Linked DNA regions of Anolis sagrei. The protein of the gene in region 1 interacts with the protein of each later gene in a pairwise test. Links are inferred from orthologs where the notes say so. Each region holds a gene or a part of one and is shown in the gene's direction. Other genes may lie near its edges.

The links.
Region 2: the proteins of NRAP (region 1) and KLHL41 interact in binary tests that used the Homo sapiens proteins (3 or more experiments, as listed by UniProt). The link is inferred for Anolis sagrei from reciprocal best matches to the Homo sapiens genes NRAP and KLHL41.

The regions. Positions count from the first base shown.
Region 1 is NC_090023.1:207,215,510-207,225,995, forward strand, and holds the start of NRAP (nebulin-related-anchoring protein), read left to right. Parts: upstream 1-6,192; 5' UTR 6,193-6,344; coding exon 6,345-6,416; intron 6,417-6,711; coding exon 6,712-6,806; intron 6,807-10,486. UniProt on the Homo sapiens protein: May be involved in anchoring the terminal actin filaments in the myofibril to the membrane and in transmitting tension from the myofibrils to the extracellular matrix.
Region 2 is NC_090021.1:194,934,306-194,943,939, reverse strand, and holds the start of KLHL41 (kelch-like protein 41), read left to right. Parts: upstream 1-5,443; 5' UTR 5,444-5,534; coding exon 5,535-6,644; intron 6,645-9,634. UniProt on the Homo sapiens protein: Involved in skeletal muscle development and differentiation. Regulates proliferation and differentiation of myoblasts and plays a role in myofibril assembly by promoting lateral fusion of adjacent thin fibrils into mature, wide myofibrils.

The DNA.
Region 1 (10,486 bases):
CTATGGGTTCCCGCCCCCTCCCTTCAGCCCCAACTTTAAGGAGAAACTTGCCTGAGAGCCGCGAATGGGAAGCCTTGCTGCAGCTGGGCTCAGTTACGCAGAAAGCGAAAGCAAAAGGCGGCCCCTCCTGCGCCTCTCTCGCTCGGCAAAGGCTCCCGCCTCCAGCCTCGAAAGTGGAAACCGCTCTCCCTCTTTCTCTCGCCCGCCTGCGTGGCTGCGGCGCCCTCGCTTCCCAACAGCGCCACCTGCTGGAATGAAGCGCCCAGCGCAGTTTGGCTCAAGCAAAGCCAAGTTGTCCCAGGAAAATATATACGCCCTTTCACTGCCCTTTGTAGCCCTGGGGCTCATTTACAAGCTGAGTAAATACACGAAGGTAGAAGAACGAGCAGTATAATCCTGATCAAATAATCACTGTGACACTTTGAAAACTGTATAAAAATGGTAACGCAGGGGGGAAAAATGCTGGCAAGAGTTTCTGTAACAAGAAGGAGAAAAGGAGCCATAGGAAAAAAATTCAGAATGTATTCTTAGAATTTAGTTGGAGGTCTAAGTTTCCCAAAGTATAGACTAGCATAGTTATATAGTATAGACTCTCTCTTTCTATTATATAATATCTGTATGTGCCGTCACACCCAGACCCTATAAAAATAAAACTAAGATGTCCTTCTCTCTTTGTCTGGGTGGACCGCGGGGGGTCTTTCTTTAGAAGCTTGAGATTCCCACAACTGAGGCTACTACAGGCTTTGAACATCAAAACAGAATATTTATTTCTCAACGTCCTTGCAGACTTGGCACAGCTTGTTAAAGTTACAAACAAAACAGTCAATTGGTGAAACCACAGAGATGTTCTTTCTTTTCCTTTTCTCTAGTCACTGAGCTGCCTTCATCCAAATGGTAGAAAAAATCCTGAGATCTTGTTACCCCAACCCTGAGCCACTATCTTTTAGAAAGCGTAGGCCTTCCCTATTCCAGCCCAAGGTTGGTTTTGGAGATGAAGCAAAAGGTGTTCAATAACTATTTCTCAATAACTCAATATCTATCTATAACTCAATAGCTCAATTACTCAATTGCTATTCTATCTCTGTTTCAATTAGCTTCTTTATAGTATCTCAATCAGCTTCTCTGTCTAAATAACTCAGTCATTCTTACAATGGTTTTTTTCAGAGTTACCTGCCTGACCAACAGCACATCTGAAGCTTTCTTTCTCTACTGAAGGAGGCAGGGGAGATTCCAAAATGGAGATCTCAACCGAGGAAAAAGGGCGGTCTCTAGACCCAAAGAGATACCTTTCTAAACCAATAACTGCAGAGGGCCTGCAGTCTGGCTTTCCAGACTCTGATACTGTTTAACTTCCAGGGTGCTGCTGGGTCTGTAGCAGCCCTGGGGAAATGCAAAGGAACACTATCCCATGCAACTAAAAGGTAATACAAACTATATTCCTGGAAGACAGAACACTATATAAATAAAAATGTAATGTTCATTTTTGGGATTAACATAACTCAAAAACTACTGGACGAATTGACACCAAATTTGGACGTGATACACCTATCAGACCAACGAGTGTCCATCACTCATAAAAACATTGAAAAACACAATGAAAGGGACTTAAAAAGCAAAAAAATAAAAAATAAATTACAACGCATGTGCAAAACCATATATATATATACACAAACACACATATACACAAATATATACACACAAAAAACACTTATACGCAAACTGGGCCACAGCAACGTGTGGTAGGGGATGGCTAGTATAATATATTATATTAATTATAGCCCTAAATAGTTCGGCTTACCTATCTCTACTTATGAACCAACTAGGACTTTAAGATCATCTGGAGAGGCCCTGCTCTCGATCCCGCCTTCCTCACAGATACATTTGGCGGGAATGAGTGACAGGGCCTTCTCAGTGGTGGCCCCTTGGCTAGGGAATGCCATTCCCAGGGATATAAGATCGGCTCCCTCCCTTCTAACATTCCCTCAAAATGGTTAAGACCTGGCTCTTCGAGCAAGTTTTTACTATTGGTACGGAATTAGATGAGAACTAATATATGGAACGACTGACAATGCAATTGGACAGCTATTTTAGTAAGGAGACGCCGAGGATTTTGTTTTTACAGGCTGTATTGTTTTTTATATCACATTTTAAATGTTTTAATTGTTTTTATAATTGTTTTAATTGTATTTTTATAATTTTTATGGCATCAAATCGCTGTGAACTGCCTTGAGTCGCCTCTGGCTGAGAAAGGTGATATACAAATGTGGTAAATAAATAAATAATGCATAATTAATTAATCAATGCTACAATTAATGATATAATGCAAGGTATTATATAATACTAATAGTATAATATGGGAAGCCCTGGCCCTTGAGCGCTCTAGCGGGTTAGCTGTGACCAGCAGTGATGTAGAATTTGAAGAGGCACAAATGGTGGGCGAAAGAGAGAAACGTGCCAAGAGGAAGGCGCATCAAGCCAACCCAGACCGGGACTGCCTTCCACCTGGAAACCAAAGCCCTCACTGCGTGAGAGCTCCACAGTCACCTATGGACCCACCTCTAGGACACCGCACTTGGAGGGCAATCTTACTCGGACAATGAGGGATCACCTAAGTAAGTAATAGTACAATATACTGGTGGTATATTATATGTGTTGTGGTATAATAATGTAGTACAATATAATAATAATAATAATAATAATAATAATAATAATAATAATTTTATTGTTACACCCTGCCTCCATCTCCCCAAAGGGACTCAGGGCGGTTTACAAAGGGACAAGCCCAGAGAGCACAAAGTTAAAAACTTTACACAATAATATAGCATTAAAACAAAACCAAATAAAAAACATATCCCAATAAAACAGAACATCATAATAACAGTACCAATCAGAATGATAAAAGTGTTGAGTTCAGAGGGCTCTGGGTTTGTGCAAATTCCTAGATAGAGCTAAGGGAAAGTGCAAAATTCATAAAGGCAGGGCTGGGAGAATAATGTTTATGGGCATTAAAATGTCAGGATTATAGAGTGGAGGGCCATGCTAAAGTGCTGGAACTTAATATTGGGCCAGTTCTTTGGAACTACCTAGTCAAATATAATTATAATATATTATATATTATTATACATTATATATTATGCATTATATATTATATTACTAATAATTGGGTTGCCTGAAAAACTCACAGCAACCCTGTGATTCCAGCCACAAAAGCCTTTGACAACACATTACTAATAATATCGAAGTATATTAGCATTAGTACAAGATAATAATATATAATATTAATATTCTTCTATGCTCATAATATAATATATTGTATATACATATAAAATTAATAATAATATTGTAATGCAATACAATATACTAATAATACAATATAATAATATATAATAATATTGTAATATAATAATGCTAATTTATTATGATTATTTATTTAGGGCATTTATATCCCGTTCTATACCTCCACAGAAGGACTCAGGGCAGCTAACAACCAGCACAGCATGGTGCCCACAATAAAAGAATAAATATACATAATATAATAAAACAGTATAAAAATGATATAAAAACATTAAATACAACACCGAATTCAGTCGTAATCCTAAAAGCAGTCCATCTTAGTCCATTAAAACCATAACTTTGCCAGCAAATCAGTCTAGTCCACAAAGGCCTGATACCACAGCCAGGATTTCACTTTTTTCAGATGACAGGAGAGATGGAGCAGATCTGATTTTGTTTGGGAGAGAATTCCATAGCCGAGGGGCCACCACAGAGAAGGCCCTGTCTCTCATCCCCACCAAGCGTGATTGAGATGGTGGGAGGACTGAGAGCAGGGCCTCCCCTGATGATCTTAAGGTCCTAGGTGGCTCATAGTGGCATTAATTATAATACTATTGATAATATATAATCATATGTAATGATAATACTGTTTTATTATTGTATATTTCTATATTTGAAGTTGCAATATTTTTAATTGCGAGCTGTTTGAATCTCTGGGTGGAGAGATAAAGCAGATGGTAAATAAATAAATAGCTATATAGTGAGCAGGGATATCTATCAATAGATAGAGTTATGTGGCAAAATATAGCTAGCAAAGCTTCTTTTTGCAAACTCTTTATTTATTTATTTATTTATTTGTCTGTACATTCCCACTTTTCACACTCCTTTGTCAAGTTGGAGTCCTTTTAGCAGCAAACACATTGGGAGAATGACAAAGTGATACTGGAAAAAGACAAGACATTCTGTGTCAGGTTTCAGCTCATAATAAATGGTGCAGTGAAGCTTGAGCTGGGAAAAGCCAGTTTTTATACTAGCTGATAGTACTTATATGCCTACTGACCGCAGACATGAAAAAAAAATCTCTTAATAAACACAAGGACAGCAAAATAGAAAAGGAGCAAGCAAATTAGCCTTCTTCAACAGCTACCCACAGTATATTGAAATAAACATACATATATCTGTAAGTTTAGCCAGTGAAATGGAAAACATAAGGCCAGTTGAAAGAAAATGTCATCCCTGGATGCATTTTGGAAGGAGGCTTCAAGTGTTCGAATTGTTTTTGTTTACTTAAGGAAGTTTTGCTAAGTTGTTTCCTTTCAGATATGCTTGCTGTCATTTGGGAATAAAAAAGTTTCTTTTAGCATGTTATACCGCTCTTCTTTTTTGTGGTGTCGTATTCTTATCCTTCCCATTATTTCTGTCTCTGGCACCTCATTTTCCGTTAAAGAAATAAGAACCTGGGAACATTTCTGCTTAGCTAACTGAAGTACGCCTGAACATCTTTGCCATTATTGTAATATAGTAAAAATGCTTATTTTTTAATTTTACTTTCGCTTTTGCCAACAGTAGCTTAAATGCTTTTATTTGCTTTTAAAAAGACTTTTAAAAGCCTTTTAAATGTTACAGCTCACTGGTTTGTTTGTACTACATAATCTCTCATCTACCTCATTGTTGCTTTTGAAAACTAGCAAGCGTATGAGGCAGCAAAAAGCAAAATACCAGGTTGTATGTAAGTTGGAACCTTCTCTATCACTTAGTGGTGGTCAGGAGCCTCCGATGGTGCAATGGTTTAAACCAGGGGTCCCCAAACTTTTTAAATGGAGGACCAGGTCACAGTCCCTCAAACTGTTGGAGAGCCGGATTATAATTTGAAAAAAAAAACCCCATGAATTCCTATGCACACTGCACATATCTTATTTGTAGTGTAAAAAACACTTAAAAGCAATACAATAATTAAAATGAGGAACAATGTTAACAAATATAAACTTATTAGTATTTCAATGGGAAATGTGGGCCTGCTTTTGGCTGATGAGATAGGATTGTTGTTGTTGTTGTTATGTACTTTCAAGTCATTTCAGACTTATGTTGACCCTGAGCGAGGGCCGGGTAAATGACCTTGGAGGGCCGCATCCGGCCCCCAGGCCTTAGTTTGAGGACCCCTGGTTTAAACCCTTGTGCTGGCAGGACTGAAGACCAACAGGTCAGAGGTTCGAATCCGGGGACAGCATGGATGAGCTCCCTCTGTCAGCTCCAAATTTTTTCAGTTCCGCATTTATTTTTTGCGGAATCCTAACTCTATTCTTGATTTTAAAAAATCAAAATAGATATTCTGGATCATTTTACGTTCAATCAGATACATTTTCTAATTTCCTATATAATGTCTAGTCTTTGAATAAATTGTGTTTCAAAGACTTAGGAAGTGTTTTTTGGAAGCAGTGCAATTTTGAGGCTTATTATAAGCATAGTTTTGCCATCTAAAGTAGAATTCCTGTGTATGCTTATTCATCTGAGGAACAAGTTTTCAATTTTCATGTGAGACAGATTGGGCATTGCACGCTTATAGGAACTACCAGTAATTAAGTCTGAATCAGCTGTATGAGGGATGAGTGTTTAATTCAGAAATGTCTTTGACTTGTTCCTCTTTCCTTAATGGTGATCCTTAGCAAATAAATAATAATCTGAAGATGAAACAACATATATTTAGAAGTCTGTCTTGAAGCTCCATAGTGTAAATATTAACAATTAGTTGCTCTCACTCATATAATCATGAGGTTTCTCTGTGAGTTCACTCTTCTATTTAAAGAAAGGTATCACTGAATTCTCCTGTTGCATTTCCTCCCATGAACTCGTACACAGTTGCCAAAATAACCCCTCTTCGTAAGTGGCAGCTTTAAAAACCAGACAACAGCTGAGTTTGAAAGAAGCGCAGCAACAGAGTAGCAGAACGTTGAACCGTGGACAGATTGGAGAGTTTCATACGAAGCAACGCATTTTCTTTTTTGTACTTTTGTATCCCTCAAAAGTTTTGTGGGTTTTTTTCTAATTTAAATATTTCCTTGGATAATTTCAAGATGAATATCCAGCCTTGTGCCAGATGTGGCTACGGGGTTTATCCCGCAGAGAAGATTAACTGTATTGATCAGGTCAGTATTGCTGTTCTTGGGCATAAGGGAAAAAGTTCTGATCTAATATAGCCACAAACATTATCTGAATAGCTAAACAACTATATGAATTTAAATCATTTAAAACAATCCTAAATTATTCTAATCTTTATAAATGATGATTGACTTTGATGTCAAACCTAAGATTTGCTGATAGTTAGCGAAACATTTTATGTCTCTTAAAGATTACATGACAGAAATAGATCTGCTTTTTTATACATGTATTGAATTGCCACAGAAGTAACTTTCACTGTATTCTTGTCCTTGCTATTTCCAGACATGGCATAAGGCCTGCTTTCACTGTGAAACCTGCAAGATGATGTTAACCGTAAATAACTTTGTCAGCCACCAAAAAAGACCTTACTGTCAAGCGTAAGTGTGTTTTGGTCTTGTAGCTAACAAATATTACAGGTTAAGTTTCCCTTATCTGGAATTCTGAAATCCAAAAAGCTCCAAAATTCAAAATTATCCACAAATGGGGCTGAAATAGTGACACTTTTGCTTTCTGACAATTGAATGTGCACAACATTTATGCACATTTCATGTACAGAATTATTTTAATAACTACCTTCAGGCTATGTTTGCAAGGTATATATGAAACATATATGAATTTCATATCTAGACCTGGGTCCATCTCTAAGATATCTGATTATGCACATAATATTTGTATATAGAAAAATTCCAAAAAATGCAAAATCCAAATACTTCTAGTCTCAAGCATTTCAGATAAAAAAAAACATAACCTGTGTTTATGGCTATGAAATTCATTATCAAGATACAAATGAATTTTGATGAAGTCTTGTCCAGATTATAAATTATTCCTTCCATCCTGGTCAAACTGCTTTTACTGTTTACATTCTTTTCTTACTGAATTTTAGTTATAGGAATTTCTTAAGTTATAAGCATACGGAAGCTCTATTTGTGCTTGCTGAGAGATTATGAAAAGTGTGATTCAAAACTGTATCCTTCCCAACCTCAGTTGCACAAGTGAACAAGTAAGCAAGCGAACAAAAACAGCTCCAGGCAGACTCACAGCATCTTAGATAGAAAATATGGTGTAAGAGTGTCTTCTGGGGTCTACAGCATTGAGTGGGAATTATGTGGCCCTTCAGATGTTGTTTAAGTGCAACTCTCAGCATTCTTCACTTTGAACTATGTTGGCTAGAGCTTGTTGTGAGTTGCATTCCAACAAGAGAACGGCCAAGTGATTCCCAAGTGAGTGTAGAGTCTTGTGGATTTGTGATGACATGCAAAGCCCTAAATGCCTTGGATCCTTGATACACAAGAGAAGGCTTATTTCCTGTATACACTTGTGGGAGCAACTGCTGTGGCGGCCTAGTTTTTGACCACCCTCTCCTAGAATGGTACCAACGCTGGAGTCATTCTGGCATCAGCAACAACAAGCTTTTGGAACCTGATTCCATACAAATTGCTATCTGTGCATCATTTTAAATTGTCCTCAAGTGTTTTGACTGGGTTTTAAAAAAATAGTTAAACAGCTTAATATGGCATTACAGAAAAGACCAGAGATACATCTCAAGATGTTCAAAAGATAGTTGTTTTGTTAGCAGTAAGGTTGTTAAGAAGGCGGGAAAGGGACTTCATGATCACTGTCCATAGACTCCAGAACTCCCTTCCCAGAAAGGCTAAAATAGCCCCTTCCTTGTTGTTTTCCCATCAGCAGAGAAAATTCTTTTTATTCCAACAGAGCTTTAAAATACAAAGCTTTTAAAGAATGAACTTAGGGTGTGCTGTATTTTTAAGTGAATTGTTTTGAATAGCTTTTTCGCTTATTTAAATTTCATTTTATTCTTTCAAATCAAAGTCTATTTTTTTAAATAATATGAATAATTTAATCCTATTTTAATGCTCACTTGAATGTTCCCAATTTGAATTGTTCTTTTCATTGTGAGCCACTTTGAATACTAATTTTGAGGAAAAGCATCATCATCAACTGCCCTCTTTTTAAAATAATAATAATAATAATAATAATACATTTTCAACAAGAATTTACATTTTTCTTTAGATGTAATGGATATTCCTGAGTGTCTCCTTTTTAAAATATACTTTTAACCTGTTCACATTATCTCATTATTTCACATAGTTCAACGTATTTTATTGAACAACGACCTGATTCTTTTAAGCGTAATGATAGATGTAACATTTTAGTCAATTAAACTAAATTTAACCACCATTAAAGTATAACTGAAATCACATGAATTCATTTAAAAATAATTAATATTGTATTTAAGGGACTCAAAATGACAGTTTAACTTTACATTGACTCTTTGAGACTAATTATGTTAAGAATCGAACTAGATGGATTATGAAAAATCAATTTAGAAAATCTTTCTTTACTCCTGAAAAAAATAAGATTTTATTCCATTTTTATTTAATAGCAGTAATAGATCTCTCTGTCTCCCTCCCTCTTTCTTCTTACATTTTCATATCATGATGATGATCATTTTCATTTGTATCCTAACTTTCCCCTGATAATGGGAGTCGGGATAACAACCAGCATATTAAATAAATATGTTAAAAACAATAAAAAGATATTAAAAGCATAACATTACAAAAATAAACAGTTTGCAAATTAAAATATTAAATATTACAAATATTAAAATACCTGGATGTAAGTCATTAATGGCTTTAATTGTGTCCAGAAATTGCTCCCTGTAGCCAGCCCTAGGCTGCATTTTCATTTTATCATGGCATTTTAATGTGAAAGGGGACTGAATCAGCTCTGTGGTGGTATCACAATGCATGGTACTATTTAGCTTCGTGCGGCCTTGAACCACAATAACAGAAGTCATGGGATACTCAGGAGTTTCCCTACGATTTCGAGCACTTGTAATCAGTTGTGCCACTTCCTAATTGAGATGTGGCCACACTTGGTTACACCACCACCCCATGTTCGGCCCGCGAGCAGGAGATAGCACCTACTTTGCCCCCTTGATAGGCCATTTACAGTGCCTAGTGGACATGAAAACGGAGTTGTTCATTACTCAGCCCAGTGCTATTCTGTTCTGGAGTACTCCACTCTGGATCAGCATCATTTATTGCCCTGTCAAGATGCACCCCTAATTTGCAATCTGGCTGTAGCTCTTTGAACCAACAGAACACTTTTCAAAGACAACCCCACATCGAGAGCATAACAATAATTCAAATGGGATGTACCACACATTTATTTATTTATTTATTATTTAGAGTTTTTATACCCCAGTCTTTTCACCTCCGGGGGTAGTTCTCAAGAAACAGGACAATGAATATTCCCCATGTCTCAGCACCAATATGAGACACCCATTCCATAGCTGTCATTCAGGGTTCTGGTTTTAAATAAAGTGCAGAACCTATTTATGGCTATTCTTTATCATGCTGAGTCATGCTTTCCCAAAACCATATATGATGAGTCTTTTAATTGAAGGAGACTTGTTTGGGTTTCTCACAGCCTAAACCAAAGCTTAGCCACATGCAGTTATTATTGTAGTATAAGAGATTCAAAACAAGCCAGAAACCAGAAGCAGCTCAAATGCCCAGAGGCATATTCTGGGTTCAGTATACATTCTTGCAGTGGGATTTGTTAGAAAGACACTATTATTGAATACTAGGCATGTGTGATTGATAAAAAAAAAGTTTCAAATGTCATTACAAAATTATTTTATTTATTTATTTATTTATTTATTTATTTATTATTTAAACTTATATGCCGCCACTCCCCTGGGGCTCGGAGCGGCTTACAAGAATAGCTAAAATCTAACAAAGTTTAAAAGCAATTTAAAACAATTTAAAAACAACAGTATCAAACATTAAAAGCCTGTCGGAACAGGTATGTCTTACATGCCCTGCGGAAAGCTGGTAAGTCCCGCAGTGCACGAACTTCAGGTGGCAGAGCATTCCAGACTGATGGCGCCACTGCTGTGAAGGCTCTGCGTCTGGTTGCCGTTAGACGCAAGGTCTTGACACTGGGGACTTCCAATAGATCTTGGTCCTCAGAGCGGAGGGATCTCTGGGGTTGGTAGGGGGTGAGACGATCCCTCAGATACATTGGCCCC
Region 2 (9,634 bases), on another chromosome or scaffold:
GTTTAGAATATTTGTATTGATCTCATATAAGTCTAAATTGTGTTATTTAACAAAATAAAATGAGAAAAGATGCGATACTTCTGAATGATTCCTTTCATTTGGTACCTATAATACCTTGCAAAGTGTTTTCAAATGAGGACTCCGATGTGTGTTTGCCCAAATGTACCTGTTTTAAACTCTGCCTATGTGACTTGAAGAGACAATTAAACAATGCTGTTCCTACTCCAATTGCTATACTCAATTATAACCACATTCCTTCTCTAACTAGGAGTTTGCAAACTCCTAGCCTAATGGTCCCTAAATTTGAGTCCTTTAGGTGTTTTGGACTTCAGTTACCAAAAGCCCCAACCATCTTGGCCAATAGTCCAGAATTCTGGAAACTGAAGTCCCATACATCTGGAGAACCAAAGTTTGGGAGCCACTCTCCTAGCTAATCACCCCCAACATAAGATAATGAGGAAGTAAGTGAAAGTGTAATTAAGATTCTTACAAAACTATACAAAGGAGGGCTTTGAATACATTAAGACTGTTAAGATAAAGTAAAGAAGTCAACTGAGAAAATCGTGAAAAGTTAGAAAAAACAGCATCATTGGTCTTTGAGAAAGCAAAGGCCAGTAATAACAGAAATGACAATGCCAGAAATATATTGAGAATTAATAGAAAATGAATAGTCTGCATCATCAAACATTATGAGACTTCTGGGTTACTTTACTACACTATCTGCATCTCAGGAACCAAATATGAAATTTAAATATTACTTTGGTTCATGCTCCAGTAGTGGCTCTTAATGTGGCAGCTATGACACTCCTTCAAAGAGGTGGATGAAAGGAGAGCAGATATAATCATGAAAAAAACTCATGAAGCATCAGCTAAGACTTTGAGAGCATCTACATCAGTATCAATGTTTGTTTGAGCCATGATATTACAAGTTCCACACAGGAATTAGACATACAAACACTTAATAAGGCATTGAAAAGGATAACAAAAGTATTGTAATTCATAGCTGATGCATATCATGATGCAACAACCTTAGCAGCACGAACCATCAATGTGATAAGGATAGGAAGGTGATCACTGATTACGACATTGGGAAGCAAATTCCAAATCTAAAAATATTTTTTGTCTTCATGCCATTTAAAGGGGAATTATTCTTTTGGGGAGAAGCACTAGATAATATGTGAATTAAAAAGAGAGAGAAAAAAGATGATAAGGCCTTTTCATAAGAGACAATATGATAGGAGACCCTTTAGGAGTGGGTATGATTTGACTTATTCCTTGTGAGTAGAAAGAGGATGATTCAGGCTTGGTTTTTTAGGCCTGTTCCTGGGATTATTTGGGACGCTTATTCAGAAAATTGCATTGGATAGATTGCATCAGCTCTAGTTTCTTATGGTTGTTATGGTTTTCTATGGGCAAGCAGATGGCAATTGACATATGTTCTGTATCAAAAAGTAGATCTAATAAAGGAAAACTGGGGCCATTTTTTAAATCTGCAGGTCAAATATACCCAGAAACAAGTCTAACATTTGAGGCAAATGTGTGATGGTTAGTGCTATAGATACCAGAATCAAAGAGTTAAACAGAGACTACAATTTGGTAAACTAGGCCAGTATGTTGAACACTAGTAATAGCACCTTTCCACGGAGAGGAAGAACCTAGTATTGACAGAAATGTAGCACCAGTAAGAGGAAGATTAATGTCACTTAGAAGTCTTTGGTCTCAAATAACAAATCAATTGTTAAATAAGGTAGTCATGTCGGGTTACAGAATATTGTTCAATGGGACCTCATTATAGATGCCCCCCCCCCCCCCCCCCCGCTCTATTTTGTTACGTTTCGCCTGCAAACAACACTGGCATGCTGCCTCATAGCAACCCATGCGCCCTCCCTCCTTTCCCTATCACATGGGGGTATCAAGGTGCATTGGTGCCCTATTCCTTCTCCCATCAGATGGGGGAAAGGGTAGCTCCTCGCCAACCATGGTTACTTTGGTTGGCGAGGAAGTATCTTGCAACATTTCCTCACCACTTCAGCCATCATTGGGGTGAGGCCATGGCCTGCATCGTGTGATGCGGTTCAGTAGGATCTGTGGCCGAAGAGGAGTAAGGAGCCAAAAGGTGGTAGCAAAGTCGAATTTCTTTTCTCACAAGTGCCAAAGGAATGCAGAAAAAGAATGACAGCTTTATAAGAAATCAGACATTATCTGGAGCTCAAACCAATAAGGTTGGCATTGTTGAATTTTTCCCTGAAAGTAACAAACTGACACATTTATATAAGAGCAGACAATGGGACTGCGAAAACATATATTTCAAATGTAAAATGTCTACAATCACTGTCTTTAATAACAGAATTCAACAAGTTATTCCATTGGATGAAAAGAAACCTGCTATTAATCTCAGCAGAATATTTTAGATGCCAATAGAATATTTATGCCAAATGTAATCCTTCCAGGAAAGTGACTATTGAACATGTCGTTACTCACCCCAAGCCACGAGGAGAGGTGGGTTAGAAATAATAAAATAATAATAATAATAATAATAATAATAATAATAAATATTATTATTATTATTATTATTATTATGTGTCTTTCATATTATACAATACAAAATGTACATATTAAATCCTTCACCATATGTTCCCTAGCTATTACTGCCACAGATTTGAACCCAAAATACTTCATTGTTGGTGAATATGCTCTGTCCGTAACATAAAATCTAGGAAATGTTAATTCATGTTCTTTGGTGATGTATTTCCTCATTCTTTATTTATTTGTTGACTTTTCTACATCCAGTCCCTATCGCCAAACCATCATCTTACTAAACATATTCTATATGAAATGTAAAATAAAAACCTTTGGGAATATATAAAGCATTCAAATGGCATGAATTCAGTTTCTGTGTTGATAAGGAATATATAACAGGAAGTTATCACAGCAAAATCACCAGCAATTATTTTTTTTTTGCAGTGATGCAATCGGTTAAACCCTTGTGCCAGCTGAACTGTTGAGCTGAAGATTGGGTTGTTGACCTGAAGGTTGCTGGTTCGAATCCACGAGACAGGTTGAGTTCCCATCTGTCAGCTCTAACTTGTGGGGACATTAGAGAAGCCTCCCAGCTAACACATCCAGGCAACCCCAGGGCAACGTCTCTCTGTAGACAGCCAATTCTTTCACACCAGAAGTGACTTGCAGTATGTTCTCAAGTTGCTTCTGACATGATAAAAAAAACCAGCAAATTATGTGGCCCTTAGGTGAACCCCAAGCAGAAATCAACTACTAATAATCTAATTTAAAAATCCAGTTCAGCTTTGTTTTTAAGGGTAGAAGTTAAAGGAACAGCATAATAGCTGTATCTATCCAGTGAACCAACAGTGTTGCATTCAAAATGAAATGTCATTTATTGTTTGAGAGGGGCAGCTGGTATGATTTTACATGAGGTAACTGCATGTCTTCCATCTCTATAAATGGAAGAATGTCAAATGACCTGTCTATCCAGCTGTTGTTGTAGCAGCTGATCTTTCGAGTATACATTGAGAGACGCCCATTTAAACTTTCCTACTCATATAGAGTTGAATTCAGATTGAGGCAGTCACACTTCAGTCACATTATATTCAATATCATCCGCATCACCTAGGACTGATTTTTACATTTTAATATGGCTATGAGAACCAGTGTGGTGTAGTGGTTTGAATGTTAAACTAGGTCACTGTGAGGTCAAAGTTCAATTCCCCACAGAGTCATGAAAACTCACTGGGTGACCATGGAAAAATCACACACTCCCAGCCTTAGAGGAAGACAAAGGGAAATCCTTCTATACAAATTCTACCAAGAAAACCCAGTGATGGCGTCACTTCAGAGTAGTCATTAGTCAGAACCCAAAAACTCAACAATTACATGTGACTAATTTGTTCTACATCCATTCCATGACTTTTGGTGGTATCTATTCTGTATTAAAGGTACAAAGGTGACTTTCAGTAAAATTTATCAAATGACAAGTTTTGAATAACTTTCCTATAAATTGGAACCTAAGAATTTGTTATTAACTATTGTCTGTTTTGTTGGATTCCAGGAGGTATTCTTTTGTATTGAGCCCATTTCTGGTTTTATATGCTGTGCAACATATCCCCCAGTCTGAATGGGCATTTATGTCTAGCCCACATGTAAAGCACTAACGAGATTATTAAAAATGCATTTAAATTTTGGGACTTGATCCACATTTTTATTGATTTGTTGTATACTTCCTTTCTCTCTCTCTCTTTTATTGAATTGGTCAGTGCTTTCAACCAATTATTGTTGTTCATTCATTCAGTTGTTTCCAACTTTGTGACCTCATGGATCAGCCCACTCCAGAGCTCCCTGTTGGCCGTGGCCACCCCCAGCTCCTTCAAGGTCAAACCAGTTACTTCAAGGATATCATCTATCTATCTTATCCTTTTTCCTTCCATTTTCCCCAGCATCATTGTCTTCTCCAAGCTTTCCTGTCTTCTCATTATTAACCATTACCATTGTGTAACAGCTAAATATCTTAACAAGACACAAATAACCTTTTAGATATTGATTACACAGGTGTTTATTTTTCTAGGAGTATGAAATGCTTTCATTTGTCTGAAACAGTGGTTTCCAACCTGTGGTCCATGGACCACCAGTGGTCCCCCAGAACAAAAATATGGTCCATGGCCTCACCATTACAACACTGTTGCCTCGAAGCCACGTTGCAACGAGGGCGACGGTCTCACAAAACTCTCTCATAGTGCCGAAGCAACAGGAATGTCGGGAGGGGAGAGGCTGACTACCCACGAAAGATTACCACTACCACATCAACTCTAGATTATTAAATATGGTTTTTGGTGGGCGAACAGATGGCAGCTACTGGATGGCATATGTTCTGTATCAGAAATTAGAACTGATGTGGTCTATCCAATGCAGTTTTTTGAATCAGCAGCTCAAATAACCAAACCAAAGTTGACCAAAAAATGATTCATAACCCCTTTGGTACTAATGTTGGAGAGTGGTCCCTGGTCAAGTGGTTTCTGATCAAGTGGTCCCTGGTCAAAAAAAGGTTGGGAACAACTGGTCTAAAATATATTTAAATGATTTTATGAATGAACATCATACGTTCACCTGATGATTCCATATTTTGAAATCATGCTTGAGGGTAGTAACAAGTATGTTTTTGGGACCTATTCCATAGCAACTACCTTTAGATCTAATTCTGACTCCTTGCTAATGTAGGGATCTAAGTATATTCTACAAGTAATCTCAGTGATTCAATGTGTGTAACCAAGTAAAACTGATTCCTTAGTGACTAAAAGCAACAGTTGCTTCTTTCAACCCATGACAGCTGCAAGCCCCACTCTTCTTTCCACACCATCCATTCGAAATTCCAGTTTGTGAAAGTCTGTATCTATATTTAGCTGTCAAGATTAAATTACAGGACCTTCAAGCTGGGCAAAGTGCACTGATCTGCCTTTTCCAGGCAGACCTAAGTACCAACAAGAGGGCTCTCTCCCTTAGCTCCTTGTCCAGATCTCCACAAAATGGATTCTCAAAGAGAACTCACTGAAGAGCTTCGGCTTTATCAATCCACTCTTCTGCAAGATGGCCTCAGGGAGCTTTTGGAAGAGAAAAGGTTTGTCGATTGCTCCCTTAAAGCTGGGGATAAAAGCCTTCCGTGCCACAGACTGATTCTGTCGGCCTGTAGTCCTTATTTCCGGGAGTACTTCTTATCTGAGCAAAGTGAGGAGAAAAAGAAAGAGGTAGTCCTTGACAATGTTGACCCTCTCACCCTTGACATGATTGTGAAGTACCTTTATTCTGCCAGCATTGACCTCAATGATTCAAACGTTCAAGATATTTTTGCCTTGGCGAGCCGCTTTCAAATCCCCTCCGTGTTCACCGTGTGTGTTTCCTATCTTCAGAAAAGGCTTGCTGTAGGTAACTGCTTGGCCATCCTCAGGCTTGGTATCCTCCTCGACTGCCCAAGACTTGCACTTTCTGCCCGTGATTTTGTGTCAGACCACTTTGTGAAGATTTGCAAAGAAGAGGATTTCATACAGCTCGCCCCCCATGAACTCATCTCGATTATTTCACAAGATGGCTTGAACGTTGAAAAGGAGGAAGTGGTTTTCGAAGCCGTAATGAGGTGGGTGAAGAAAGATAAAGAAAACAGAATGAAGACTCTTGTAGAGATCTTTGACTGTATCCGTTTTCGGCTGATGGATGAGAAATACTTCAAGGAGCATGTTGAAAAAGATGATATAATCAAAACTAACCCTGATCTTTCCAAAAAGATCAAGTTGATAAAAGATGCATTCACTGGGAAAATGCCTGAACCGACCAAAGGTGCGGGAAAGTCAGCCCAAGGAGAGGTTAATGGTGATGTCGGGGATGAGGACTTACTCCCTGGGTGTCTGAATGATATTCCAAGGCATGGAATGTTTACCAAAGACCTCATTCTTCTCATCAATGATACAGCTTCTGTGGCATATGATCCTACAGAGAATGAATGTTACCTGGTAGCCCTGTCAGAACAGATTCCTAGAAATCATTCCAGCATTGTCACAAAACAGAAGCAGGTCTATGTGGTGGGAGGACTGTACGTGGATGAAGAGAACAAGGAAGCCCCTTTCCAGTCATACTTTTTCCAGGTATAAATCTTACGTTTCTCATTGTCATTTCAGTTCTGCAGAGGGGTAAATTGATTTTAAAAAGTTAAGTCCACATCCTAAAAGACATTGCTTTTCTGTGGACTTTTGGAAAGCAATCTTTTAAATTCATTATCTCTTGGTCTCTGCAAGTTTTGCATTTCTGTATCCTAATTCAGCATCATTTCTGACTAGAGGTCTACAGATGCTTAAGAATGTATCACATAATTTTTCAGTCCTGCTTTCTAGATAATACTAGCATATTCTAAGCTATCTGAGAGGCTAAGAGGAGACATGATGGCCATGTATAAATATGTGAGGGGAAGTCATAGGGAGGAGGGAGCAGGCTTGTTTTCTGCTGTCCTGAAGTCTAGGACACAGAATAATGGCTTCAAACTACAGGAAAGGAGATTCCACCTGAACATTAGGAAGAACTTCCTGACTGTGAGAGCTGTTCAGCAGTGGAACTCTCTGACCTGGAGTGTGGTGGAGACTCTTTCTTTGGAGACTTTTAAGCAGAGGTTGGATGGCCATCTGTTAGGTGTGCTTTGAATGCGATTTTCCTGCTTCTTGGCAGAGGGTTGGACTGGATGGCCCACAAAGTGTCTTCCAACTCTAGGATTCCATGAACTCATTTCCACTATATCCCTTCCCCCACCCCAAAAGCTTTTTAAAATATTTTAAATAGAACTTATTTAATGCTGTGTCGGCCTGAGAAATGTACATGTAAATTAAAGTGGGTTTTATTGATTTTATAACAGAAATGGTGGCACTGTGCCACTCTGTTGTAACAGCACAACTGAGACATTTGACTGGACGGCATTTGATCATAGCATGCCTTGGAAGTACCATCAGTCCAGAAGAGCCAACTATTTGTTCCTGTGTGTTCCTTTAGACCAGGGTTATCAAACCCATTTTCATGAAAGGCCACATCAGTCTTAGGGTTTCTTTCAAAGGGCTGTTTGTAATTGTAAGATTTTATAAATATAACTATGTTACCTTAACACTGAAAGTTCCACAGGGCACATAGAATGATTTTATGGGCCGGATTTGGTCCGCGGGTCTTGCATTTGACATAGGTGAATGAGACATTTTGCTAAAAGAGAAATGGGATAGGATCAAAGATTATTGACATGATCCTACTCTTTTATATGCCAGTTCAGGTGAACATTTAGCATGTGATGGAATGATGGCTCTTAAAAGGTTTTAAAAATACTTTAGAAGAAGAATGGACTATCAGTTGACTATCAGTTGACAGTACTATGTATCTGCATATCTGTGCTCACGAATACTAGAGGCTGTAGTTACAGTTTTTGGAAAGTTTTCATAGAAACTGGTTTGCCATTCTGTGACGAGAATGGTAATATATATAGGTTTTTTGGTTTGGTCCAGTATAATTTATGTTCTCAGATATTTCATGTGCCTTGTCTATGCATTTTCTACTCTGGTCTTCTAATTTTCCTTAATTTAGTTTGATATTTCCATTTCTGATGGCTACAGTCTATCTTCACCATGCAGATGGAGCTCTTCCCCTCACAAGAGTTTCCTCTTTCATTCATTTCAGTACAGGAAGTAGATATTATAGCCATTGCTTTTCCCTTGCAGATCAGATTCCTCAGTGTGAAACCCAAGGACTTGTAGGATTCTAGGTCAAAAATCACAACCAGCCTTGAGTTTGCATGTTCGCTCCTTTGTCTCTTGTGGTGAGGCTGTGAGGACATCAGAACAATCTGCTTCTGCTTATAAGCCAGTTAGAATTCCCTGTTGTATCTGGATTTGAGGACACTGATTACTTTAGTCAATGGATAACCATCAGTTTGTTAACACATCAGGATTGTAAACAACAATGGGTTGTATGTATTGTCGAAGCCTTTCATGGCCAGAATCACTGGGTTGTTGTTGGTTTTTCAGGCTGTATGGCCATGCTCTAGAAACATTCTCTCCTGACGTTTCGCCTGCATCTGTGGCAAGCATCCTCAGAGGTTGTGAGGTCTGTTGGGTTGATGGGTTGCTCCTTATTGCTTGAACAAACCAGAGTTTGAGCATAGAGGAGACATCAGATATAATGAGAAACTCCTCTTAATTTAAAGTTAGGAAGGACAGATGTCAAATTAACTACTATGAATGTTAGGAATCATGACAATGCATACTTAATGAGTTTGGAACCTCTGTAGGGAGCACATATGAAGTCTGGTGGACAAGAAGTTTCTAAGGAGCAGCAGTTAATAGAACAGACTCGGGAACTTAATTAAAATTGTACTGAGAAACCAAGAAAATGCACAGAGAAATCAAAGCATTAAAGATGCTCTCTTAAATATACCTTAGAAGCAAAAAAAAAATGTAGACAATTTCCACCTTAAAGCTCTTCCATTAGGCTTGGCGTTGGCACACAGGATCTTCACCAAAGTATTAATTCAACTGATATCTTTTGTGATACAGCAACAATGATCTTTTTCTGAAAGCCAAGTGCAGACAGGAGGCAGAACATAAGCTCATTCTCACCTTATAATATCTACAGACTTCTTATACATTTCAAGAAAAATCAGCTGACAGCAACAAAAATATTAACTCACTTGGATGTAGAAGAAAAATACACAGTGGCCATGGGTGCATCTACTCTGTAGAATTAATGCAGTTTGCAGTTTCATAGCTATAGTTTCATGGGAGTTGTCATTTGCCAGATCTTTAGCATTCTCTGCCAAAATGGGCTGGTGCTTCACCAAACTACAACTTCCAGGATTCCATAGTATTGAACCATGGAATTTAAAATGATGTCAAACTAAATTAATTCTACAGTGTAGAATAGATGTATCCCATGTCTGCCTTTCCAAAAAAAAGGAAACAGAGCTTCTTGGAGCAAGTAATGCATTTGAGAAAGGTGAAAACATTTAATGCATTTGGTAAAAGTGCTAGGAATATTAATTTCAACTGTTCAGTCCTGTGTACAAGGTTTCACACAAGGGCATTGCAAATTTTCACAAGAGCACTTCTGA